7 linked regions of the Oryctolagus cuniculus genome follow. The protein of the gene in region 2 interacts with the protein of the main gene of each other region in a biochemical or structural test. Links are inferred from orthologs where the notes say so. Each region holds a gene or a part of one and is shown on either strand. Other genes may lie near its edges. The genes, in order: USP19, HSP90AA1, FKBP5, PPP5C, SUGT1, HIF1A and AHSA1.

Region 1 (3,500 bases), on a different chromosome or scaffold from region 2:
AGAGCAACTGGGACTCGAACCAGCGCCCATATGGGATGCCAGCACTGCAGGTAGCAGTTTGATCTGCTGCGTCACAGCCCCAGCCCCATGGAGGATACTCCTTGAATGTGGTTCTATGCCACAGCACTGGCCCCATGGAGGAGACTCCTTGAATGTGGCTCCTCTGTGCTAATATGTTGTAGTCTTAGCTGGGCCTTGCTCCTTGAAGCAGCATGGAGGCCTTCAGTAAGAGAGCTAGAATGGTTGCCACCTGCCTTGGGCTGGTCTTCAGGCTCTGATGTACCAGGCTCCGTGTACCATTGGGCACTGAGACTGGTACCAGCAGAGGTGGGCCTCCATAGACCCAAGGTAGGAGCCAAGCTCTGGGGCAGGACTGGGGAGAGGTCTTACTGCACATGGGATCTGTGTGTTCTCTGTCCCCAGGTGATTAAGAATCGCTTCCATCGTGTGTTCCTGCCTTCCCACTCACTGGACACTGTGTCCCCATCCGATGTGCTCCTCTGCTTTGAGCTGCTGTCTCCAGAGTTGGCTAAGGAAAGGGTAGTGGTGCTAGAGGTACAACAGGTAAGTGAAGGCCAACCAGATGGTACAGGGCCCGGTGGCGGGGGGCAGGCTGGAGGGAGGGCACTCCTCCCTGGCCTTGCTGAGCCAGTCGACCCACCCTAGCGCCCCCAGGTGCCCAGCATCCCCATCTCCAAGTGTGCTGCCTGCCAGCGGAAGCAGCAGTCAGAGGAGGAGAAGCTGAAGCGCTGTACCCGGTGCTACCGTGTGGGCTACTGCAACCAGTGAGGACCCCCATTCTCTCCCCTCCTTCCGTCCACCCTTCCTTGCCACCCTGCCCTTCCCCTCTACACAGAGGCACAGGTTTTAAGACTTCTACCTGCCATTCTGTCCATCAGGCCCCTAGGGGAGGCAAGGCTGGTGGACCCAGTTCCCAGGGCCTAAGACTAGTTTTTAATACAGAGTTGTAGCAGGTGGGGCCGAAGCCCTGTGCTTACCTTCCCCCTCCCCTTCCCTCCAGGCTTTGCCAGAAAAACCACTGGCCTGACCACAAAGGCCTCTGTCGCCCTGAGAACATAGGCTATCCTTTCCTGGTCAGTGTACCTGCCTCACGGCTCACTTACGCCCGTCTTGCTCAGCTGTTGGAGGGCTATGCCCGGTAAGTGCCCATTGGTTAGACTAGGGTGGGAGAGAGAGAGGGCAGTGGTGCCAGTTGGGCTGGTCAGCATTCTTACTTGCCTTGCTCTCTGTTGCCAGGTACTCTGTGAGTGTGTTCCAGCCTCCCTTCCAGCCTGGCCGCATGGCCTTGGAGTCCCAGGGTCCTGGGTGCACTACGCTGCTCTCCACTAGCTCCCTAGAGGCTGGGGACAACGAGAGGGATCCCATTCAGCCGCCTGAGCTCCAGTTGGTGAACCCTGTGGCTGAGGGGGACACAGGGGTTCCCCGGGCATGGGCAGCCCCGGATCGGGGCCCTGTGCCTAGCACCAGTGGAGTTTCTCCTGAGGTTCTGGCTAGTGGGCCCATTGAGGGTGGCCCTTTGCCTGCTGGTGAAAGGGTGTCCCGGCCTGAAGGTAAGATCTGGAGAAAGGCTCTGGGAACTGGGACTGGAGATAGGAGAGGTTGGGTGCAGCTTGTTTAACCTCTGGAAGGCAAAGGAGCTCTGATGATCGTGTTTTCTCCCAGCTGCTGTGCCTGGGTACCAGCACCCAAGTGAAGCCATGAATGCCCACACACCCCAGTTTTTCATCTACAAAATCGATGCTTCCAACCGAGAGCAGCGGCTGGAGGACAAAGGTGTCGAGGCTGTGGGTGGGAGCCGTGGGCTGGGTTTGGCTGGCTGCCCTCCACACTTGCATGACCTCTCTGTCTGCCCATCTCCAGGAGACACCCCGCTGGAGCTGGGCGATGACTGCAGCCTGGCTCTGGTTTGGAGGAACAATGAGCGCCTGCCGGAGTTTGTCTTGGTAGCCTCCAAGGAGCTGGAATGTGCAGAGGATCCAGGCTCTGCTGGCGAGGCTGCCCGGGCTGGCCACTTCACCCTGGACCAGTGCCTCAACCTCTTTACGAGGCCTGAGGTGCTAGCCCCCGAGGAGGCCTGGTGAGAGCAGGGAAGCGGGCAGGTGGGTGGTGGGGCAGGGTGGAGGGGAGCCTTGCCGGTCTTGACCCCACCTCTGTCTCCCACCAGGTACTGCCCACAGTGTAAACAGCACCGCGAGGCCTCCAAGCAGCTGCTGCTGTGGCGCCTGCCCAACGTTCTCATCGTGCAGCTCAAGCGCTTCTCCTTTCGCAGTTTCATCTGGCGTGACAAGATCAACGACTTGGTGGAGTTCCCTGTTCGGTGAGCAGCGCACCCTGGTGCCTGAGGGCAGGGCACTGGGGCCAGGGTGGGCATCCCGGTCACCTAATTGTCTCACCCCTCCCTGACTGGGACCATAGGAACCTGGACCTGAGCAAGTTCTGCATTGGTCAGAAAGAGGAGCAGCTGCCCAACTATGACCTGTATGCTGTCATCAACCACTACGGAGGCATGATCGGTGGCCACTACACTGCCTGCGCACGCCTGCCCAACGATCGTAGCAGCCAGCGCAGTGACGTGGGTGAGGGCACACACAGCCAGCAGGATAGGTGGTGGGCTGGTGGTACAGGCTGTGTTCACACTCTTCCCACCCTGCTACAGGCTGGCGCTTATTTGATGACAGCACGGTGACGACAGTAGATGAGAGCCAGGTGGTGACGCGTTATGCTTACGTACTCTTCTACCGCCGACGGAACTCTCCTGTGGAGAGGCCCCCCAGGGCAGGGCATTCTGAGCACCACCCAGACCTAGGCCCTGCAGCTGAGGCTGCTGCCAGCCAGGTGAGACATGGGGATGCTTCATAGACCGGTAGGGGCCAACTCACAGCTCAGAGGGCAGGGCTGGGGGACACAGCGGTGTGCTGCAGCCACAGGCCCTGTAAGTGTCGGGATTCATGAGTTACAGACAGGTTCCTTTACATCACTCAGAGGCACCCTCGTGCCCTGGGGACGCTCACAAAGGGACACGTAAACCATCCTGTTGCCGCTGGTGTGTACATAGATGCCCACAGGGCAAAGGTCAAACAGACAACTGTTGAGAGCCTCACCAGGCACTATGCTGTGAACAGCTATACCTGACAGTCTCCTAGCTTCCCTTCACATGTGGCCCGCAGGCCAGTCCACAGACCCCCACTTGCGATCAGCCCCGTGTTCCGGGCCATACTCAGGACAGCCTGGCTGGGTTGGCCACAGCCCTGAGTGGCTGTCACACTCGCTGAGGTGAGCATCTATTCCTGCTAGTCTTTAGGGTCTTCTACCACTCTTTCTGACATAGTGTACCAAAGGCCTGGTTGGTGGACATAGCCACATGTCTCTTTTTGGCCACCTCCTTTCTGCCCCTTCTGCTTCCTTTGAGCCTTGTCAGGCTCAGAGAAATCGTGGCAGAAGACAGTGGTAAGTGTCTGGACCTGGGTGAAGGAAGCCAG
Region 2 (4,107 bases):
CGCGCGGGCTACCTGTGATGTAGTAGATGTGCTTCTGGTTCTCCTTCATCCTGGTGCAGTAGTCCTTGAGGGACACCATCTCGTCGCCGGAGGCCGACGTGTAGTACCTCAGCAGCTCGGAAAGCTTCTTGCGGTTCTGGGAGTCCTCGTGGATCCCCAGCTGAAACAGAGCCCGCCTGTGAGAACGGCTTCGGTTCACCACTCCCCGCGGGGCAGTGTGGACCCAGCTGGCAGCCGTCGGTGTGTCTGCACCCACCTTTATATTTTTGGAGAACTGCTCATAAAACTTCTTGTAATTCTCTTTGTCTTCTGCCAGTTCCGTGAAGAGCTCCAGACACTTTTTGACCAAGTTCTTCCTGATAACTTTCAGGATCTTGCTCTGCTGCAGCATCTCCCGGGAGATGTTCAGCGGGAGGTCCTCCGAGTCCACCACCCCTCTGATGAAATCTGAGGTAGCGGAGACCGCGCCCTCAGTCTAAGCACACACACACACACACCCCGCCCCCCCCCCCCCCAGCAGACGGACGAGACATGGTGGCATCACCAGCGACACTGGGCTCACTCCCGCTCCTACTCACTCAGGTACTCAGGGATCAGCTCCTCACAGTTGTCCATGATGAAGACTCTGCGAACGTACAACTTGATGTTGTTCTTCTTCTTCCGGTTTTCAAACAGGTCAAACGGGGCTCGTCTCGGGACGAAGAGCAGCGCTCTGAACTCCAGCTGCCCCTCAACCGAGAAGTGCTGCAACGACACACAGGCCCGGTGCCAACCACCACCACCGCGACGGCGCCGGGGCCGGGCTGCCACCCTCCGGGCGCGGGGCGCTCACCTTCACGGCCAGGTGGTCCTCCCAGTCGTTGGTCAGGCTCTTGTAGAACTCCCCGTACTCCTCGTTGGTGATGTCGTCGGGGTTCCTGGTCCAGATGGGCTTCGTCTTGTTGAGCTCCTCCTGGTCGATGTACTTCTCCTTGATCTTCTTCTTCTTCTTCTTGTCGCCGTCCTTCTTCTCCTCCTCCTCCTCGTCCGAGCCCACGTCCTCGATCTCCGGCTTGTCGTCGGGCTGCTTGTCCTCCTCCTCCTTGTCCTTGTCCTCCTTCTCCTCGGCCTCGTCGTCACTCACCTCCTTGTCGCGCTCCTTCTCCACGAACAGCGTGATGGGGTAGCCGATGAACTGCGAGTGCTTCTTCACGATCTCCTTGATGCGCCGCTCCTCCAGGTACTCCGTCTGGTCCTCCTTCAGGTGCAGCACCACCTTCGTGCCGCGCCCCATGGGCTCACCTGCGGGGAAGCCAGCGCGCCGGGTCGCACGGGGCGGCGGAACCCCGCGAGGCCAGCACGGCCCGGGCCAACGAGGCGGCGGAACCCCGCGAGGCCAGGCCGGCCCGGGCGAACGCGGCGGCGGAACCCCGCGAGGCCGGCCCCGCCAGCCCCGGCCCCCTCGCCAGCACGCCCAGCGCCCCTCCCCCTACCTGCGTCGGTCCGCACAGTGAACGAGCCCCCCGCCGAGGACTCCCAGGCGTACTGCTCGTCGTCGTTGTGCTTGGTGATCACCGTCACCTTCTCAGCCACCAGGTACGCCGAGTAGAAGCCGACCCCGAACTGGCCAATCATGGAGATGTCGGCGCCAGCCTGCAGCGCCTCCATGAAGGCCTTGGTGCCGGACTTGGCGATGGTGCCCAGGTTGTTGATCAGGTCGGCCTTGGTCATGCCGATGCCCGTGTCCACGATGGTCAGGGTTCGGTCTTGCTTGTTGGGAATCAGGTTGATGTGCAGCTCCTTGCCCGAGTCCAGCTTGCTGGGGTCGGTTAGGCTTTCATAGCGGATCTTGTCCAGAGCCTGGAAGACCCCAAGTCCTCAGCACCCAGCCGGCGCCCTCCCACCCCCGCCCCCCGAGGCCAGGGCCCCTTCCTCCCCGCCGCCACTTACATCCGACGAGTTTGAGATCAGCTCCCGCAGGAAGATCTCTTTGTTCGAGTAGAAAGTGTTGATGATGAGGGACATCAACTGGGCGATTTCCGCCTGGAAGGCGAACGTCTCCACCTCCTCCTCCTCCATCGGCTGGTCTTGGGTCTGGGTCTCCTCGGGCATCTGCCAAGGGCACGAGGCCCATCAGGCGCCGCACGGCCCCCGCCGCCCGCCCCGAGGCCGGCGCGGGCGCCTCACAAAGGGATGACCTCATTTCGAGCTGCGGCAGGCGCGGGAGCGTGCGCGCTGCGGGGCGGACGCCGCGGCCGGGCCCCGCTCGCCCCGCGCCGCCGCCGGCCGCCCTCCGCGGGCCGCGGCCCCGCCATGGCGGCCGGCACGGCACGGCCGGGGGCTGGGCGCCACCCCCCGCAGCCCCGCACCGGCGCCCCCGCCCCGCCCCCGCCCCGCGGCCTCTCCAGAACATTCGCGGCGCCCCCGGCCCGCCGGAGGCGGCTCCACAGGCCCCGGCCGCGGAGGCCGAACCGCGGCCGCTCGGGCACCGCGGCCGAGGGGGCCCCCGGCCGCCCCCGCTCCCCGCCGCCGCCCCCGCACACCCCCGGGCCTGAGACCCCCCGCAGCCCCCTCACCTTGGCTGAAGAACCGCACGGCCTCCGCGACGCAGCAGCACCGGGACGCTGGAGCAACTGGCGCGCCGCCCCCGCGCCGCCCTTATATAGAGGCGGGCCCGCCCAGCGCGCGGCGCCTTTTCGAGAAGCCTCCCGAACCTTCCGGAAGAACCCTCCCCAACCGCCACCGCGGCCACGCGCCTGCGCCTGCGCCCTGGCTGTGGCCCGCCCCTGCCCCGGGCTCGCGCACGACCCCGCGCAGGGAACGGCGGGCGCCCCCCGCCCGCCCGCGCCGCCGCGCGCCCTCGCGCCGGCCCCTGTGCGCCTGCGCGGGCTCGGCGCCTTCCGGGCTCCTAAGCCCGCCAAGCGCGGGCGCGAGCGCGGGCGCGTGCGCATGCGTCCTCGCGGCGCCGGGCGAGCCGGGGCGGGGGAGGGGGCGTCGAGCCCTGAGGTCCCTGCCCTTGTAGTGTGAAATGTGCAAAAAATGGCCCGTGGGTTATGACAGCTCGGGGCCGCTCCCAACGAGTCGCCCGCGCAAGGTGCAGCGGCCTGGGGTGCAGGCCTTGCCAGCTTTCGGTCGCCGGGCCGGGTCGTCCGCTGTGTCTGGGGACTGGGTTTTGGAGTCGTGCTGCGGGCCTGCGGCGGCGGTTACGGGTCGAGGGCTGCGTTCCGGCGCCTGGGCTTCCGCAGAGGTGCGGCCCGAGGCCGGGCGTGAGGAGGGCGAGGGCCGCGGAAGCCCCCCGGGCCGGCTCCCCGATGCCACGGCCTCCCCGTGCCCAGGTGCTGAACCACGCTCGCCCGGCCGCCGCCGCCGCCGGGGTTCCGGGAAACCCGTAGCCTTTCGCTTCCGGAGAAGCAGCGGCGTGCAGCGCCGGAGCCCCGGGGGCCGCCCCAGGCCAGGTCTAAGTGGGACTGGGGCGCTCGGAGCCCGGGGCGGGGGCGGCGGCGGCCGGGCCCTCCCCACGTGGGAGACCGCGTGGAGTCCCTGGCTCACGCTGCAGCCTGGCCATCTGGGGAGTGAACTTCCGGGTGGAAGACCTCTCTCACCCTACCTTTCAAATAAATGTTAAAAAAGAAAAAAAATAAGAGCCACATCCAGGCTGTAGGGTCCTCACTGTCAGCGTCGGGGTCTGCCCTGGAAGGACGCCGCGGCTCAGCGCGCCGGCCCTCGGAGCCTTTGTGTCCAGCTCTCCCTTTGTTGGCCCACTTCCTCCCTCGACGGGCCTGGCCCTCTGGAACAGCTGGACGCTCCCAACCTAAAGGCACCTGACCGCTCCGCTCCCTCGTGGTCTCTAGGAAAACCCGCTCTTCCAGGAGAAGGTTGGAGAGCGCTTGGGAGCGTGAGCGCAGCCCACAGCGTGCAGAGCGTCGCAAAGGTGGGAACAGACCCCTTCAGCCGCGGGCGGGTCCCGGCCCTCATGTGCGTTTCCTACAAGTGAATGGGGAGGAATGTGACTGGCCCAGGTTTGCCCAGCCTGCGGGGGAGGAGAGGAGTGGAGGGGGAGGCGCGGAGAGCAGGGGCAGGTCCCCAGCTGCCCTCCCTGGAGCCTGGTGGGTTAAACCGCCGCTTGGG
Region 3 (2,493 bases), on a different chromosome or scaffold from region 2:
GTTTATGATGTGCGGTCAGAATTTTAACTATGACTTCCTGCCCTGGCAGCCACTGCCTGGCCCCGCTCTGCACAGAGCTCAGCCTCTCCCCGGGGTTCACACCATCCGCAGTCCCCACCTCAGGGTTTCTGTTCACATCCGCATCCCGCGGTTTCAGTTTCAGTCCTTCCACTCTGTTTCTTTCCTCTGGGAGGAGAACTCCCTCGTGTTTTGTTTGTTTGAAGATTTATTTATTTATTTATTTATTTGAAAGAGTTACAGAGAGGCAGAGAGAGAGAGAGAGAGTTCTTCCATCCTCTGGTTCACTCCCCAAATGGCTGCCACAGCCGGAGCTGCACCGATCTGAAGCCAGGAGCTTCTTCCAGGTCTCCTACGCGGGTGCAGGGGCCCAAGGACCTGGGCATCTTCCACTGCTATCTCAGCCCATAGCAGGGAGCTGGATCGGAAGAGGAGCAGCCAGGACTCAAACTGGCACCTGTGGCATGAGAGGCCGGCACTGCAGGCGGCAGCTTTACCTGCTACGCCATAGCGCTGGCCTCTCATATTATTTTCGTTTTCTTTTTTTCCCCAAATATGCTTGGGAATTTTCTAAAAATTGCATTCAATGCAGAAAGTAACTACAGTAGTATTTTTTGATCAGTAGTATACAGTTATCTTGCGCCCATTTTTTCTTTTTTTAATATAGATATTTATTTTGTTTACTGGAAAACAAAGTTACAGAGAGAGGTAGAGACAGATCTTCCATTCACTGGCTCATTCCCCAAATGGCCACAATAGCCAGAGCTGAGCTGATTCGAAGCCAGGAGCTTCTTCCAAGTCTCCCATGTGGGTGCAGGGGCCCAAAGACTTGGGCCATCCTCCATTGCTTTCCCAAGCAGGCAGTCCAGCAGCTGAGACTCAAACCAGTGCCCATGTGGGATGCTGACACTGCAGGCTGGGGCTTTAACCCACTGCACCAAAACGCCGGTCCCTTGAGCCCATTTTTCCAATTGCTTTTCCCAATTCCCTCGGCCAGAGAGCTTCAGTACGCTGTTTAACTACAGAATTCCTTGTTGAAATTCCTACAAATGAGAAGGATTACCTTCAGCTTTGTTTGTTTTGTTTGTTTGTTTGTTTTGTTTTGTTTTGTTTTGTTTTTGTTCCTAGGCCCTGGGACTGGACAGTGCCAATGAGAAAGGCCTGTACAGGAGGGGTGAGGCCCAGCTACTCATGAATGAGTTTGAGTCAGCCAAGGGGGACTTTGAGAAAGTGCTGGAAGTCAACCCCCAGAACAAGGCCGCACGACTGCAGATCTCCACCTGCCAGCGCAAGGCCAAGGAGCACAACGAGCGGGACCGCAGGATCTACGCCAACATGTTCACCAAGTTTGCCGAGCAGGATGCCAAGGTGCGTGCAGGCCCCGCTGCCTGCCTCAGGGCACATGCAGGACAGGCCTCGCCCCCTCGATTGGTGCCCCTGGAAGGTTAAGGGTAGGAGACAGAGACAGGTAGACAGCGGCGCGAGAGGCCCAGGAGTAGGGAAGATCACTTCCATCGTGGTGACCCAAAACTGGTTTGCAGCCGGAGGCTGAGGTGGCGCCACATCGGTTGGGAGGCCCTGCCCCGTCCACACAGCACGCAGAGGACACACCTTCCCTGGAGATGCACTAAAGCATATGCTGTTTACAAAGTCATTAACCCATCAGGTTTTTTTTTTTCCCTCAAATGATACTGCTTCCTTGTTGAGACTTGGGGAAGGGTTACAGGAGCCTTGCCATGCCTCTTCCCTGGTGGGCGAGCGTGACAGGAGACGGGTGTCTGCAGGGGCCTCGGGCCCCTTCCCCTGAGTGCGTCCTCCACTCTGGAACCCCCACTGGCTCATGGACTTAAGTGCCCAGCAGTGGTCCCAGTTGGCAGGCTAGTCACGTCAATAAGCTTACTTTTTACATTTCTGTCATCTTAGTGCACACGCCCGTCCATCTGCTAGTTCACTCCCCAGCTGTCCACAAGGGCCAGGGCTGGGAACTCAGTTCAGGGTCTCCCAGCTGGGCAGCAGGGACCCAATCCCTTGACTCATCACCGCTGCCTCCCAGGTTCTGCATTCGCAGGAAGCTGGAGTCGGGAGCTCCAGGCGGATATTGAACCGAGCCCGTCCAGGGTGGGCTGCGGGCTAGCCCAAGAAGAGCACGCCCCCCGCCCCCGGGTAGCCGTGGGGAGCACAGCCCTGACCTCCCTACGGGGCGGCCCTGTCAGGTCAGCGCTGTGCACTCTGGCCTTGGGCCTGGTGAGAGCCCATCTCCCTTCCTTTGGCTCTAACCCTCTTGACCTCTGACTTCTTCCTCAGGAAGAGGCCAGTAAAGCAATGGGCAAGAAGACGTCGCAAGGGGTCCCCGGCGAAAAACGCACCGAAAGCCAAGCGATGGAAGAAGAGAAGCCTGCAGGCCACGTATGACGCCACGCCACGGAGGGACCAGAGTCCCCCCGAACTCGGCCCCTCCTCGTGGGCTTTCACCCA
Region 4 (3,500 bases), on a different chromosome or scaffold from region 2:
GTGCGCACCAGCAGGAAGCGGAGTCGGGGTCAGACCAGGCCTGCGGGCTGGAACGCAGATGCCCCGTCCAGCAGGCTGAGCACCGGCCCCTGGTGCTTCTGCCAGGATCCAGGAGGCTCACTGCCCGCCCCCCTTCCAGATTCTGGTGCAGGTCAAGGAAGTCCTCTCCAAGCTGAGCACGCTCGTGGAGACCACGCTGAGAGAGGTGCGCTGGGGGCGGGGCCTCTCGGACACCCCCACCCGACCCGGTCTCGTCTCTGCATTCTCGTCCCCTGACTGTCTCCCCCGACTGTCTCGCATGCGGCTTCTTGGTCTGCCCTGACCTTTGCCCCTCCCCTCACCTCTGCCCCCTCCCCACGTCTCTCTCTGGGCCCCTCCCTCTCCGGTGGCCTCTTTTCTTCCAGACAGAGAAGATTACGGTATGTGGGGACACCCATGGCCAGTTCTACGACCTCCTCAACATATTTGAGCTCAACGGTTTACCCTCAGAGACCAACCCCTACGTATCCTTGTGTGCAGAGCCGCCTCGCCCACCCCCAGCCCTGACCCCCAGCCCAGGTCGTCTCGGGGAGGGGAGCCCCTGGAGAGCAGGCTCCGCCAGGGAGGGAGCGGCCTGAGCCGTGAGCAGTGCCCAGGTGGGGGGCAGTGGCAGGCTGGCCTGGCACTCCAGGCTCCTGGCTCGGTCAGCTGTGCTGTGTGAGCCGAGCCGGTGGCCGGCCTGGTGTCTCTGAGCTGAGGTGCCGTGTGACCCGAGCCAATGGCCGGCCCGGTGTCTCTGGGCCCGATGTGCTGTGTGACCCGAGCCAGTGGCTGGCCCGGTGTCTCTGAGCTGAGGTGCCGTGTGACCCGAGCCAGTGGCCGGCTCGGTGTCTCTGGGCCCGATGTGCTGTGTGACCCGAGCCAATGGCCGGCCCGGTGTCTCTGGGCCCGCTGTGCTGTGTGACCCAAGCCAGTGGCCAGCACCTGGCAGTGCCCACGCCACATTCCATCCTGGCTTTGCCGCTCCCCAGTGGTGGGACCGTGGCTGGTTATGTTGCCTCCTGGAAACCACCCTGGTTTCCTCTGGTGAGTGCCAGGGCCGCCTTGGCGCCCTGAAGGGTTTGCAGAGAGGATTCCGGGCTGACGAGCGGTCGCTTTGTTGGCCACCAGGTTTGTGAGCTGCTGGTGGGGGCCCTGGGCCTGTCCTGAGGCAGCTGCAGCAGACTGCACACCGGGCAGGGAAGGGCCTGGCACGGCCTCCTGAGCCCCACTGAGTCCCTGCTCCTGGGGGAGAGCTCACGGGAGCTTGGGGGCCAGGCGAGGGGAGAGGACAGCCCCCCACCCGTCTGCCCCAGCCCACGGCTGTTTCCTTAGCGGGGTGGATATTCAATGGCGACTTCGTGGACCGCGGCTCCTTCTCCGTAGAAGTGATCCTCACCCTTTTCGGCTTCAAGCTCCTGTACCCAGACCACTTTCACCTACTTCGAGGTGAGCCACAGGGCAGCAGGCTCAGGTCCCTGGGGGCTGGGGGGCACTCACTCTCCCTGGCCTGATCTGTAAAGCAAAGAAAGCCATGGCAGCTGCACGTACAAGGGTCCTGGGGCAGTTTCTGTCATGTCTGTGTTCCACCTGGGTCCGTGTGAGGGCGCAGGTCCGGGCAGGGCCGCTGGAGGAGGGGACGGGTGGAGCTCTGGGCTTTGATGGGGGCTGATCAGGGCGGAGTCTGGGGCTGGCTCTCAGTGGTTCCCACCTCCAGGAGGCTGCTGGACACCGGGAAGAGCAGGGCAGGTCTGGTTCTCACGTGAATGACAGCCTGGGGCAGGGGCTGCCCTGTGAGAGGTCGGGCCAGTGGGGAGGGGCGCAGAGAAGCAGCAGAGCAGGAGGAGGGAGGGAGTGGGCTCCTCTGGTCAAGACCCTCCCTCACCCCCGGCCCCTTGGGACTGCCAGCCTGGAGGGTACACAGTGGGAGGACTCGGCCACTGCCCAGGACGGGGGTGGTTTCGTGCCTCGGCCACTGCCCCGAGGGTGGAGCTGTCAGTAGGGCAGGGCCTGGGGCCTGGGTGAGATCTCCCAGTCCAGTTGCTGCCTTCAGGAATGGTCTGAGCGCAGGGTCCACCCCTCTGGCTGCTGCGACGGGCCGCTGCGGGCGCTGGGACTGACTGGCTCGGGCTGCCTGCCACATGGGCAGTCCAGCCTGATGCCCAGGCCTGCACCTGCGGGTGCCGGGCGGGGGGAGACGGGGGACCTGCGGGCTGAGGGCTCTCCCTCTCCCGCCGACGGCCAGGCAACCACGAGACGGACAACATGAACCAGATCTACGGCTTCGAGGGCGAGGTGAAGGCCAAGTACACGGCCCAGATGTACGAGCTGTTCAGCGAGGTGTTTGAGTGGCTGCCGCTGGCCCAGTGCATCAACGGCAAAGTGCTGGTGAGGACGCGGGGATGGGCACCCGGGCAGGGGCGGGGCCGGCCCTCCCCCCCTCCCCGGGCACACGGGCAGACGGGCGGGGCCGGCCCTCTCCTCACCTGGCCACCCCCTGCCCCCCCAGATCATGCACGGGGGCCTGTTCAGTGAGGACGGCGTCACTCTGGACGACATCCGGAAGATCGAGCGGAATCGGCAGCCCCCAGACTCAGGTGAGGAGGTGGGGCCGGCGCCCCAGCAGGGCGCAGCAGGTGAGCCTCGGGGCCCCTGCTGGCCGGGGGGCTGGAGCGTCCACGGGCAGGGCGAGGCTGTGGGGAGCCCTGGGAGCCCATCTGCTGGCCCTTGGAGGGAGGCTGCAGCTCCGTGCACCTGTGCGAGTGTCACACAGGGCTGGGGGTGCAGCATTGGAGCCGACTCCCCGAGAGCAGCAGCTGCCGCCCGCGCACAGTCGGGCGAGCCCGGGCAGCTTGGGGGTGGGAGGAGCCCACGGTGTGGCTGGCGTGAGCTCGACTGGACCAGATCCTGCAGGGAAAAGTAGGTGAATGGGGTGCGGGGAGGTCGGCAGGGAGGCTGGGGCTGGGAGGGCAGGCCCGGCAGAGGAGGGCCCCGTCCACCCGCCTCGGGCCGCGCTGGGGGCTGGGCACGGCCGGCCAGGAAGCCCCTGACGCCTCCCTCCACCCCCCAGGTCCCATGTGCGACCTGCTCTGGTCGGACCCACAGCCACAGGTGAGTCTCGGGCCCTCGGGGGCGGCGGGGGTGGGGCGGCAGTCTCTGAGCCCCGTCTCCCGCAGAACGGGCGCTCGGTCAGCAAGCGAGGCGTGAGCTGCCAGTTCGGGCCTGACGTCACCAAGGCCTTCCTGGAGGAGAACCACCTGGACTACATCATCCGCAGCCACGAGGTCAAGGCCGAGGGCTACGAGGTGGCGCACGGTGGCCGCTGCGTCACCGTCTTCTCCGCCCCCAACTACTGGTGCGTTCCCGCCGGCCGCCCTGCCGGCCACAGGTTTTGTCTGGGTTCCAGTTACTTAAGGCCGAGCAGCAGAGGGGATGCCGCGTGCCCTCCCTTGCCCTTCCCCGTCTGGGCTGTGGTCTCCGCC
Region 5 (4,082 bases), on a different chromosome or scaffold from region 2:
AATAAACGAGAATTCCTTGTGATAAATAATTTCTCAAGGTTCTCATTAAAAACTGAAAGACAAAGGTAAGTAAACCAAACTTCTTCATAGAAAAATTATATTTACAACTTCATTTAAAAGCAAACACAATATAACACTGAAGTTGAAAATTTTATGCTCATCCAAAGTTGCCTGGTCTAATAAATTACAGAATACTGCATCAAAAATAAGGCAATAACCCGAGATATGCCATTGAAGATTTCTCCACTCCCACAACTAAATAGAACTATCTATCTAGTAGCAAATGATACTTCATTCAGTTCAGCATATCTAAAATCCTTAAGGACATAAGTGATAAAAATTTGATCTTTCTTCATTAGACTCTTAGAACACTTGAAGGGAAATAAATTCTAATGCACAAAGAGGTAAAGAGGTATAATCTTTCAAAAAAATACTCAGTGTTCAAAATTTAAGAATGCAGTATCAACACACAATGGGCATTAGGTGAATGTATGCAATACAGTGGTGTCAAGTTAATTTATTTAGTACTTTTTCCATTCCATATCATCAGGAGGATTGATTTCAACTTTTCTTTTACCTACATCAGACCAGTTGGTACTCAAAACCGTACCACCGGACTCCATCTGTAATAAAAGGGAAAAAAAAAAAGATATTAACTCCAGGACCATAATATCAAAAATGATCAAGAGCATTTTCCTAAAAATGTTCTAAGTATACAGACTCAAATACAGGTTCATTATAAATATATCAACAGCTCAATATAAACTCTAATAGATCACACACACACTATACATAGCTCAATAGAAACTAAAAACATTATTTTCATTTAATCTCGTCCAGAGAGAATTTAAGTTTCACAAAATTTGAAAAGGAAACTATTAGTAGTCAAGTAGGAGCATCAAGTTCACATACACTGTCATATAAGGCTCCATCTCTCCCTCTGTTGATTAGCACAGAGGTATATGTGGAAAAACTTTCAAATTAAAATAAAACTGCCCCCCACCCTGCAAATAATGATACAATTCTTTTTGCTGTAAGAGAGTAATCACCAGATAAATAAACTCTATGCTAGCTGGTTGGAGCTTCAAAGGGACTCAACTTCATGTTTCCTCTGTGCAAAACTCATTCAAGTTTACTTGAAAATGTTTTCAAAGTCAAAAGTTAGACACACGCATGTACACAGTATCTCAATGAAGAACTGATTATTTACCATTTATTGAATGTACCACAACCTAGCACAATTACAAATATTATAGGGTACCACATAATAACATTTAGGTCAATTAATCAAATTTTTGTTTCAATAACGAGAGAGGCTTATTTAGTTCACAGTTTCTGGAGACTGAAAGTCCAAAGAGCAAGATACCAACTCTATTGAGAGCTATGTGGCATCATGAGGTGAATGTGTAAAGGAAGGCGACAAGGCTAGATAGGAAGGAGGAGGGACAGACTTGCTCTTTTATAAAATCCTCTCCTGAGAACTAATGAGGGTCTCACAAGAACTACCATCAATTCCTTCTGGGGTAACTGCTCCCAATGACTTAATAATAACTTCCTATTAGGCCCTTACCTCTTAAAGGTCCTATCATCGCACCTGGAATCAAGAATGAACCCTTGGCAGGGACAAAACATATCTAAACCGTATCAACAGTGGTTTCATACAACAACAACGAAGCTGCAAAATTCCCATAACAGTAATGCCACAGCTGTTGGCATTGCCACTTCATAGCACATGGAATTATTCATGTTTATGATGCTGGTGTAAACTAACCTGCGGTGTTACTGATCATAAGAAGTATAGGATATACAATTATATATAGCACATAATACCTCATAATAAATGACTGTTATTATCTGTTTATTATAACCAGTTGTGTTCATGACAAATGTATGAAGTTATATACCCTGTTACACTGGAAATTCAATGAACCCCTATGTCCTATGTGCTCTGTGATACTCCCCTACTCATTTTCCTCTGCATGAGATCTCCTCTCCAGCCCATTTCTTTTCTGTATTTTTAGTTATCCTCTCAACATGAAATGTCACCATCTCTCCGCAGTCTTCTTTGACCCTAATCAAGACTAATCTTCTACTCTTCTGTATGAACCTAATTACTATTAACATAACACCTATTACTATGCAGTTGTAATTTAAGGGTTTGCCTTCTTATATCTGCCTCCCACCCTTGCCTGCAAATAAATCTGAGAGCTCCTCAGAGTAAGGGAATATATTTTACTAATATAGTCACTTCTTGGCATCTGTAGAGAACCAGTTCCAAGACCACTGCCACCCCTCTAACCCTGTGGATACTCAAGTTCCAAAATCTGCAGATGTTCAAGTTCCTTATATAAAATGGAGTATTAGCAAATATCTCACACACAGACTCCCAAATACTTTAAATTATCTCTAGATTAGTTATAATACCAAATGCAATGTCAATGTTATATAAATAGATGTTGTATATTGTTTGGGAAATAATGAAAGGAAAAAATTTTTAGTACAGACTGAGTTTCATTTTTTCTCTTTTTCCTAGTTTCAATCTCTGGTTGGCTGAATCCATAGAAGTGGAACTTGTAGATTAAGAGGGCTGAATATACTCATATTCTAGTTCAAAGCACAGAGGCCTGGCACATGGTAGGCTTCAAATGAATGACTGAATTAAACATGGTAAGCTTGCGTGATGCACTGAACCTAACAGAACTTTTCAGTTACAAAACTGAAAGAAGTAGATGCAATTTATAACCTGAACATACTCACTAATGACTAATTCTCCTTTTTCTCCTGACAGACTCCAGATCAATTTAGCATTTCTCTCAAGTTATATTGTTCTAAATTGTCTTGTCCCAATTACAGAGGACAGAGTCTACTGTATTTTTTCTGTTTTCCCACAAGAACAGAAGTCGTCCCTGGAATGCTCCAGGTCAGTGTTGTCACACAGAGGAGATGTTTGTTAGTGGTATACCTGGCTCACTTGCTCTCTGTATACAGTGGATACATACTCTGCAATGCTCCAGGTCAGTGTTGTCACACAGATGAGATGGTGTGTTAGGGGTATACCTGGCTCACTTGCTCTCTATATACAGTGGACATATACTCTGCAATGCTCTTTTGTCTGACACACTGGTATTTTTGTACAGCACACTACAGTCCACCCAGTCAGTAGTGAGAATGACTTTCCTTTCTGAGAAGACCAAATAGATATTTTTTTTTCCTATTCTTTCCACTAGCAAACTAAAAACCCAGAAAACAAAGGAAGTTGATAAATTTGCCAGAGATCGTGGGACACAAAAAGTGACATGGAGTTAAACCCCTGGATTTTCCTTTGCCCTCATATATTCTAGCCTTGGAGTTGAAGAAGCTGGAAACACCAAGGTGAGTAAACCAGTAAACAAAAAAGCCTCAATAAAGGCCTGCTCTTTGTGGCCAAAAGAACGAAAAGGAGAGTCTAGGAAGACAGAAAACTTGTAGACAATGAATTACTACAGCTAAGCACCTCACTAAGCCCCACCCAACCAGCAAGGGCTGAGCAGGGAGCTTAGACTGTCCCAGTTTCAGTGCCAATGGAAGCAAAGTTGGATGCCTGAACTTTTATGTCCTCCAGGCAGTAATGACATAGTGCCTTGCGTTCCCCAACCAACACATTATCAGACAAGGCCAACTAAAATGGGTAAGGTTTAAATAAGATCCAGATTTCTTGAACAGAATATGAAAATATCCAGGATTCAACTGAAAAATTACTTGTCACTACTGGAAAACGGCAAGAATCAGAAAGATCTCAAACTGGAAGGTGGAGGGCACAAAGAATAATCAATAGATGCCAATATCAAGATGACAGAGATCTTGGGGCAGGCGCTGTGGTGCAGCAGGTTAAAGACCTGGCCCGGGGCACCAGCATCCCATGTGTGTGCTGGTTCGAGTCCTGGTTGCTCCTCTTCGATCCAGCTCTCTGCTGTGGCCTGGGAAAGCAGTACAAGATGGCCCAAGTCCTTGGGCCCCTGCGCTTGTGTTGGGGACCTAGAAGAGGCTCTTGGCTCCTGGCTTCTAATTGGCTCAGCTCTGGCTGTTGCAGGCATCTGGGGAGT
Region 6 (3,500 bases), about 37 Mb from region 2:
GTAAGAATACTGGCCTTGGAATAGCCCTGCTGTCTTTGTTTCTCTGATTTCATATTTGTACATGAGATGGTAAAACTTTCCTCAAAAGAATCCTAAATGAAATTCTGTGTGAGATTACTATAAAAGGTTATATGATATAACACATGGCTTTTGTTTCTTCATGAACTCTTAGCTCATTGGTTTGTGAATATAATGAACATCTTAAATTAATCTTTCACTTACCTATTTCAGTAGGCTCCTGCACTGTCTGTCTTCTCCATTACTACCATATTCTAGTCCACCTTCCATATTGCTACCAGGCTAAGCTTCCTAGTGTAATTTTTTTAATGCTTATTTTTTTAAAGGTTTATTTATTTGAGAGGCAGATTATAGAGTAATATAGCCATTCTGCTGTTTTTTAAACATTTATTTATTTGCAAGTCAGAGTTACACAAAGGAGAAGCAGAGAGAGGGAGAGCAGAGAGAGAGAGGTCCTCCATCTGCTGGTTCACTCCCCAGATGGCCACAATGACCAGAGCTGGGCCAATATGAAGCCAGGAGCCTCCTATAGGTCTTCCACATAGGTGTAGGAGCCTAGGTACTTGGGCCGTCTTCTACTGCCCTCCCAGGCACATTAGCAGGGAGTTAGATCAGAAGTGTGGGAGCCAGGACTCAAACTGAAACCCATAAAGGATTCCAGCTCTGCAGACAGAGGTTTAGCCTACTACCCCACAGTGCCAGCCCCATCAGTTGCTCGTTTTCTTTACAACATTTGAAGTCCCTTTATTATCCTCAACATTAAATCCTTGCCTACATCATTTGTTATTATCATACTTTCCTAGATTTATCCCTCCCACTAAAATCTGTGGTCACCTCTGTTACTAAGATTTTAGTCATTTATTTTTGCTACTTTGGAGACCATCCTTCAGTATTTTAATATGAGTGCCAAAGAGTGTGACAGTGCATTGTTAAGAATCGCCCACTTTGGAACAGCTTTCTCCTCCTCCAACCTTGGCGTGCCTAACAATGGCTGCTTGAGCTCAGGTTTCTGCTTGTTAGCTTTTCTGGACAAGCCTTCACCATTTGACCAGTGAACACAGTGTCTTTTTATTATTTGCTTATCTACTTTCACAGTGGGTTATCAACTTCTTGAGGGCAAGGTTTAGGTATTTAACTTGGGTATTTTAATTCTCCATTCATTTCACATAGTGAACATTTACTGTGTTAATTACGTTAAACACAAAGATGGAGCTGTTGCTCACCTTCCTTCTTAAACCCTGTCCTGTACGTCACTGGTATCGTTTTCCTTCCACTAAAGAAAATACAGCACACAACTTAGAAAGATCTTCATCGTTTCTGGATATTCTGGGACCGTCCTTAGCTCATGCCTCCTGTTAGTGACAAAGACTTCTTTTGTGCTGATTTCATCATATGGATCGGCAGAGAAATTCTGATCTCTTTGTGTCTGTCTTGTGCTTAACTGCCAATTTCCCTGTCACCAGCGCTCTTCTCAAAGGACAGCCAGAGGTTTTTTTGGCTGAATTTAATCACGTAGTTGAATTATCTCACTATGAATAGTTGCATCTTCATTTCATATTGGCATTTTAAAATTCCAGATGCATGAGGGGTCATGCATCTCAGGGAATCTTAAAATGACAACATCATTTCACAGTCCCCCTCCCCTCGTTGTGTCAAGTACTCATTTAAGAATTACTAATCTCTCTCTCTTGACAGTGGTATTATTCAGCACGACTTGATTTTCTCCCTTCAACAAACAGAATGTGTCCTCAAACCAGTTGAATCTTCAGATATGAAAATGACTCAGCTGTTCACCAAAGTGGAATCAGCAGATACAAGTAGTCTCTTTGACAAACTGAAGAAGGAGCCTGATGCTTTAACTCTGCTGGCCCCAGCTGCTGGAGACACAATCATATCTTTAGATTTTGGCAGCAATGGTGGGTATTTTAGTTAGTTAATCTCCTGAAGTATATATGTTGTGGCAAGGCCCATTTCAAGTGAACTTGGCTCTGATGCTTTCTGTTGGTAATCATTTGGACATGATTATAAATCTTGTTTTTCATAGTCATTTTGAAAGTATTTAAATAATTTTGTCCTTATAATTTTTTTAGCATTCTTGCTTTTTCTTAGGGATTGTTGAGTTTTGTGCTTCAAAATGCCTTCATCCCACTTCAGTTTTCCCCAGCTACTCTGCTGTTTCTGTATCCTGCTTTCAGATTGTCTCCACAATAGGTGTAGCTGCATTAAAGGATGAACAAATAGTTATACCATAATTTTACTATATTTTACAATATACTATCATTTCAAGCTAGGTTAAATTTTAGTGTAAATAAAGGTTGGAATTACAAGTCTTTTATTGCCATGTAGATTAAAATGAGTTGTAATAGTGGACTGTAAAAATATCTCAAGATTTATAACATAGCATCTGTAAACTTCTTGATTAAAGAAAATTTGAGTGGATTAGATAAACCTTTTGTAAAAAGGAGTACATTGCTATGTATGTTAAAATTCTTAATGCTTTAGATTGACTAATTCTTTTCCCCACAGACTCAGAAACTGATGACCAACAACTTGAGGAAGTTCCATTATATAATGATGTCATGTTCCCTTCATCCAATGAAAAATTGCAGGATATAAATTTGGCAATGTCTCCATTACCTGCCTCTGAATCTCCAAAGCCACTTCGAAGTAGTGCTGACCCTGCACTCAATCAAGAAGTTGCATTAAAATTGGAACCAAATCCAGAATCACTGGAACTTTCTTTTACCATGCCCCAGATTCAAGATCAGCCAGCAAGTCCTTCTGATGGAAGCACCAGACAGAGTTCACCTGAGGTAGGTATCGTAATATAACAGCAGGGCAACTTTCAGATTGTAGCATTCAGGTATGTATTTGTATATCTGGTTCAGATTTTAATTTGGACCACATGTCACTGTGTGTGTGTGCTGGAGAGAGAGAGAGACACACACACACACAACACACACACCATCGCATGTGTTTTCAGCACAAAGATAGGAACATGGGAAGGAGTTGGTTTGATATTACTCAGAAGGTAAAACTTGGGTTTATTCTCTCTGGATTCTAAATTTGAGACTTTTTTGTCTTATAGATATAAACATAGAAACAATTTATCCATGTGCTCAAGATAACACCAGCATATACCTAAAGGCAAAAAACTTATTTTCAAGGTTTAAGTGGGAAAAGACCTTCTAACTCTCTTCCCAATATAGCCCTGTTTCAAAAAACTGAATAAGTGTAACATGAAAATACAAAGTCTTACACAGAACTTAATAATTGGTGTTTTTTATTGTAGCTCTGTGTTGATATTAACAGTCCTACAAGCACAATAAAAATTGTCTTTTTTTTTCTTTTTTTGACAGGCAGAGTTAGTGAGAGAGAGACAGAGAGAAAGGTCTTCCTTTTTCCCTTTGTTCACCCCCAAGCGGCCACTACAGCCGGTGCGTTGCAGCCGGCATGCTGCGCCGATCCGAAGCCAGCATCCT
Region 7 (3,187 bases), about 22 Mb from region 2:
AACCCGAGGAGCGCAAGGTAAGTTGGCTTGCACGTGATGGGCTGGCGGGCTGTCCGCGAAAGGCAGTGCAAAGCTGCCTCCTCTTTAATTCCACTTCTCAGCTCTTTCTGTGACCCTGATCTCCAAGCCAGAACAGCCTATGGTCTGCCACTGGCACTTTATAGAGTCTACAATATGTAGGCATATGTCCATCTTTAATATGGCTTTTATTCATTTATAGCAAAATGTGGCTTTTATTCCTATATTGCAACCTCCAGAGCAAATGGAAGCTCTCAGGGACTTCACACGGTGACTCTTGATTGCATTCAGCACCAGTTAAGAGGTTGTGAGCGCAGAATGGTGTTCACCATAGACGCAGCTCTCCTCACTGGAGTGCTGACGTTTGGCATCAGGATACCAAGGGTTAGATCACTGACATCACTCACCAAGAGCTGGTTGGCGGCACTGCATTTGCAGGTGAGCCAGTGTTTCAGCGAGATGGAGTCAGTGGTTCGGGCTCAGCGCTTGGTTTGGAGCCCAGTTGCCCTTCTGCCAGCTCTAAAGGATGTCCAGGATGTAGGGAGAAAACTGCTTCCAGCTACAGAGCCATAGAGATTCTGTTTGAGAATCACACTGAGTGCTCCAGAATGCCTGGTGATTGGACTTGACCTTCGGCTGATGGGTTTTTTAATGAGCACCAGAGTCTTCCTCCTAGAGTGGTTGTTTTCTGTGAGAATTGAGGATGTTTCTGGAAAAGTTCTCTTCATAACTGAAACACACACAGATTCCCTCCAACCCTCTTATCCCTAGAGGTGAATGGCTTTGTGGAAGTGAATGGTAGAGCTGCCCCCAGGGCCATGGTGACTGAAGGTCACCGTTGCCCTCCACTGACCATTTTCACTGCCACTTTCACAGGCTAAGTCTGCTCCTGCAAAAACCCAGGCCAAACCTGTTGGTGTCAAAATCCCCACTTGTAAGATCACCCTTAGAGAAACCTTCCTGACATCACCAGAGGAGCTCTATAGAGTGTTTACCACCCAAGAGGTAAGCGTGCGCTTGTCCCTCAGGCCCCGGGCCGCCTGTGTGCCAGGTCCTCGGCGTGCAGAGGTACTGATGTCTGGAGCCCGGAGGCCTTCCTGATACAAGCAGAGGCAAAGGAAAAACAGCTTTGTTAACCCTCTTAGACTAGATCTGCTCCTCCGGTTTTCTCTTCAGTGCTAGTGTTGGGTCAATAAGTGGGACTCACTGAATTGTTGTTAGGAAAGTGAGTGGGAGCCGGCGCCGTGGCTCACTAGGCTAATCCTCCACCTTGCGGCGCCGGCACACCGGGTTCTAGTCCCGGTCGGGGCGCCGGATTCTGTCCCGGTTGCCCCTCTTCCAGGCCAGCTCTCTGCTGTGGCCAGGGAGTGCAGTGGAGGATGCCCCAAGTGCTTGGGCCCTGCACCCCATGGGAGACCAGGAGAAGCACCTGGCTCCTGCCATCAGATCAGCGCAGTGCGGCGGCCATTGGAGGGTGAACCATCGGCAAAGGAAGACCTTTCTCTCTGTCTCTCTCTCTCTCACTGTCCACTCTGCCTGTCAAAAAATAAAAAAAAAAAATTAAAAAAAAAAAAGGAAAGTGAGTGGGTCGGAAGTAATGGCATCGTGGGTTCAGAAAGGATCCCTGGAGTCCAAGCCTGGAGTGTAGTGGAAGAGGATGGGGGGAGACGAGACGTGCGGGGAGGCACGCGGCGCTTGTCCCTGGGTCCCGCTGAGAGCCGTGCATCTTCTCCCCGCCTGCTTTCCTGCAGCTGGTCCAGGCCTTCACCCACGCTCCTGCAGTGTTAGACGCAGACAAAGGTGGGAAGTTTCACATGGTAGACGGCAACGTCTCTGGGGAATTCACCGATCTGGTGAGTACCTGCTGGCCCCAGCCCCAGGTTTTGGAGCTGCCTTTGGTCAGATGAGTGAATTTTCTCAGCTCTGTAGGTAAAATTTAAGGCTTTAATCTCTGGTTAATAAAACTATGTTTTGTTTAGGTTTTCAAAAGAATGCTGTGATTTGAATTCTCTGCAAGTAATACAATTGCACAGGATAGAGTCAGTGTGAGAGGCAGATGGCTAATCCTAACTAGGACTGGGTACATTGTAGTCTACGCTATAGGCTGAGCTCTCTGATCATTTTAGGTCCCTGAGAAACATATCGTGATGAAGTGGAGGTTTAAATCTTGGCCAGAGGGTAAGCACACTTCTTTACTGCCATACCCCAGAACCTTTGCTTCTCCTCTTAGTCGTAAGCCCAGGTGGAAACCCTGGATTTGAAACCTCCCTCCCCTCTGCCTTTTCCCAGGGCACTTTGCCACCATCACCTTGACTTTTGTTGACAAGAACGGAGAGACAGAGTTATGCATGGAAGGCCGTGGCATCCCTGCTCCCGAGGAAGAGCGGACGCGGCAGGGCTGGCAGCGGTACTACTTCGAGGGCATCAAACAGACCTTTGGCTATGGCGCACGCTTGTTCTAGCTCCGGCCTGCCCTACACTTCAGTCCAGCCCTGTCCTGATGGGCTTGTGACTTGCAGGATTGCACCATCCCAAACGCTAACTTGGGGCTGGGGCCCTTCCCCTCCACATACATACACCTTGGGTTTGTGCATGTTTTCTGCTGGGTGGGGTCAGAGGGTGATTTCTTTTTTGTGTACATACGCTAAATAAACATAATTTTAAAAACACACATGTCTGCAACCTGGGCTGATTGGCTGTTCTGCTGAATACTGGAGGTGCTGGGAGTGGTGTGCCAGAGGGCGGGGGCTCCACACCCCCACCAGCAGCAGCTTGCCATATCCATCTCCATCTGACTGTTCTTCTGTAGTCAAGTTTCCTAGTAGGTTCTAACTTGCAGAAAGTTGGAGGTTGGAAGGGCTCCTCTGCACCCTGGGTGAGCCTTGATGGTTAGAGGCCTGAAGGGAGCCTGCTGCTCATGGCCAGGCGTTCCTGAGCTAGCCTTCTCAGACTGCCTGGTACAAGGGTTCTGCCTGATGACACTGACTGCAGGGGACGGTTGGTGCTAGCAGCAAGCAGTGCTGGCACTCCACTGTCGGGTGGAGGTGGCTTTCTGAGCTGCCCACTCTCCAAGGATTCTCTGTAGTAGAGAGTCAGCAGGTGCTGGCCAGATGTGTTGGAAACCTAGAGAGTCCTACCCTGTGCTGCTGTGTACTGAACAGTTACCACG

The links.
Region 1: the proteins of HSP90AA1 (region 2) and USP19 form a complex in vitro, tested with the Homo sapiens proteins (3 studies listed by BioGRID). The link is inferred for Oryctolagus cuniculus from reciprocal best matches to the Homo sapiens genes HSP90AA1 and USP19.
Region 3: the proteins of HSP90AA1 (region 2) and FKBP5 form a complex in vitro, tested with the Homo sapiens proteins (5 studies listed by BioGRID and IntAct, with this or other methods). The link is inferred for Oryctolagus cuniculus from reciprocal best matches to the Homo sapiens genes HSP90AA1 and FKBP5.
Region 4: the proteins of HSP90AA1 (region 2) and PPP5C form a complex in vitro, tested with the Homo sapiens proteins (4 studies listed by BioGRID, with this or other methods). The link is inferred for Oryctolagus cuniculus from reciprocal best matches to the Homo sapiens genes HSP90AA1 and PPP5C.
Region 5: the proteins of HSP90AA1 (region 2) and SUGT1 form a complex in vitro, tested with the Homo sapiens proteins (4 studies listed by BioGRID, with this or other methods). The link is inferred for Oryctolagus cuniculus from reciprocal best matches to the Homo sapiens genes HSP90AA1 and SUGT1.
Region 6: the proteins of HSP90AA1 (region 2) and HIF1A form a complex in vitro, tested with the Homo sapiens proteins (4 studies listed by BioGRID and IntAct, with this or other methods). The link is inferred for Oryctolagus cuniculus from reciprocal best matches to the Homo sapiens genes HSP90AA1 and HIF1A.
Region 7: the proteins of HSP90AA1 (region 2) and AHSA1 form a complex in vitro, tested with the Homo sapiens proteins (4 studies listed by BioGRID). The link is inferred for Oryctolagus cuniculus from reciprocal best matches to the Homo sapiens genes HSP90AA1 and AHSA1.

Annotation. Positions count from the first base shown.
Region 1 is NC_091441.1:100,054,800-100,058,299, forward strand, and holds part of USP19 (ubiquitin carboxyl-terminal hydrolase 19), read left to right. Parts: intron 1-423; coding exon 424-564; intron 565-666; coding exon 667-785; intron 786-1,021; coding exon 1,022-1,159; intron 1,160-1,257; coding exon 1,258-1,571; intron 1,572-1,683; coding exon 1,684-1,794; intron 1,795-1,881; coding exon 1,882-2,098; intron 2,099-2,185; coding exon 2,186-2,338; intron 2,339-2,436; coding exon 2,437-2,597; intron 2,598-2,677; coding exon 2,678-2,856; intron 2,857-3,500. UniProt on the Homo sapiens protein: Deubiquitinating enzyme that regulates the degradation of various proteins by removing ubiquitin moieties, thereby preventing their proteasomal degradation. Stabilizes RNF123, which promotes CDKN1B degradation and contributes to cell proliferation.
Region 2 is NC_091451.1:45,356,478-45,360,584, forward strand, and holds the start of HSP90AA1 (heat shock protein HSP 90-alpha), read right to left. Parts: upstream 2,801-4,107; 5' UTR 2,556-2,800; intron 2,092-2,555; coding exon 1,930-2,091; intron 1,840-1,929; coding exon 1,473-1,839; intron 1,282-1,472; coding exon 833-1,281; intron 745-832; coding exon 579-744; intron 448-578; coding exon 257-447; intron 161-256; coding exon 13-160; intron 1-12. UniProt on the Homo sapiens protein: Molecular chaperone that promotes the maturation, structural maintenance and proper regulation of specific target proteins involved for instance in cell cycle control and signal transduction.
Region 3 is NC_091436.1:133,898,234-133,900,726, forward strand, and holds part of FKBP5 (peptidyl-prolyl cis-trans isomerase FKBP5), read left to right. Parts: intron 1-1,146; coding exon 1,147-1,386; intron 1,387-2,322; coding exon 2,323-2,430; 3' UTR 2,431-2,493. UniProt on the Homo sapiens protein: Immunophilin protein with PPIase and co-chaperone activities. Component of unligated steroid receptors heterocomplexes through interaction with heat-shock protein 90 (HSP90).
Region 4 is NC_091449.1:10,796,571-10,800,070, reverse strand, and holds part of PPP5C (serine/threonine-protein phosphatase 5), read left to right. Parts: intron 1-139; coding exon 140-205; intron 206-404; coding exon 405-503; intron 504-1,361; coding exon 1,362-1,467; intron 1,468-2,263; coding exon 2,264-2,406; intron 2,407-2,527; coding exon 2,528-2,615; intron 2,616-3,088; coding exon 3,089-3,129; intron 3,130-3,194; coding exon 3,195-3,373; intron 3,374-3,500. UniProt on the Homo sapiens protein: Serine/threonine-protein phosphatase that dephosphorylates a myriad of proteins involved in different signaling pathways including the kinases CSNK1E, ASK1/MAP3K5, PRKDC and RAF1, the nuclear receptors NR3C1, PPARG, ESR1 and ESR2, SMAD proteins and TAU/MAPT.
Region 5 is NC_091440.1:60,137,903-60,141,984, forward strand, and holds the end of SUGT1 (protein SGT1 homolog), read right to left. Parts: intron 624-4,082; coding exon 522-623; 3' UTR 501-521; downstream 1-500. UniProt on the Homo sapiens protein: May play a role in ubiquitination and subsequent proteasomal degradation of target proteins.
Region 6 is NC_091451.1:8,781,650-8,785,149, reverse strand, and holds part of HIF1A (hypoxia-inducible factor 1-alpha), read left to right. Parts: intron 1-908; exon of another isoform or gene 909-1,713; coding exon 1,714-1,934; exon of another isoform or gene 1,935-2,235; intron 2,236-2,544; coding exon 2,545-2,831; intron 2,832-3,500.
Region 7 is NC_091451.1:23,218,905-23,222,091, forward strand, and holds the end of AHSA1 (activator of 90 kDa heat shock protein ATPase homolog 1), read left to right. Parts: coding exon 1-17; intron 18-894; coding exon 895-1,023; intron 1,024-1,769; coding exon 1,770-1,871; intron 1,872-2,144; coding exon 2,145-2,196; intron 2,197-2,307; coding exon 2,308-2,480; 3' UTR 2,481-2,687; downstream 2,688-3,187. UniProt on the Homo sapiens protein: Acts as a co-chaperone of HSP90AA1. Activates the ATPase activity of HSP90AA1 leading to increase in its chaperone activity.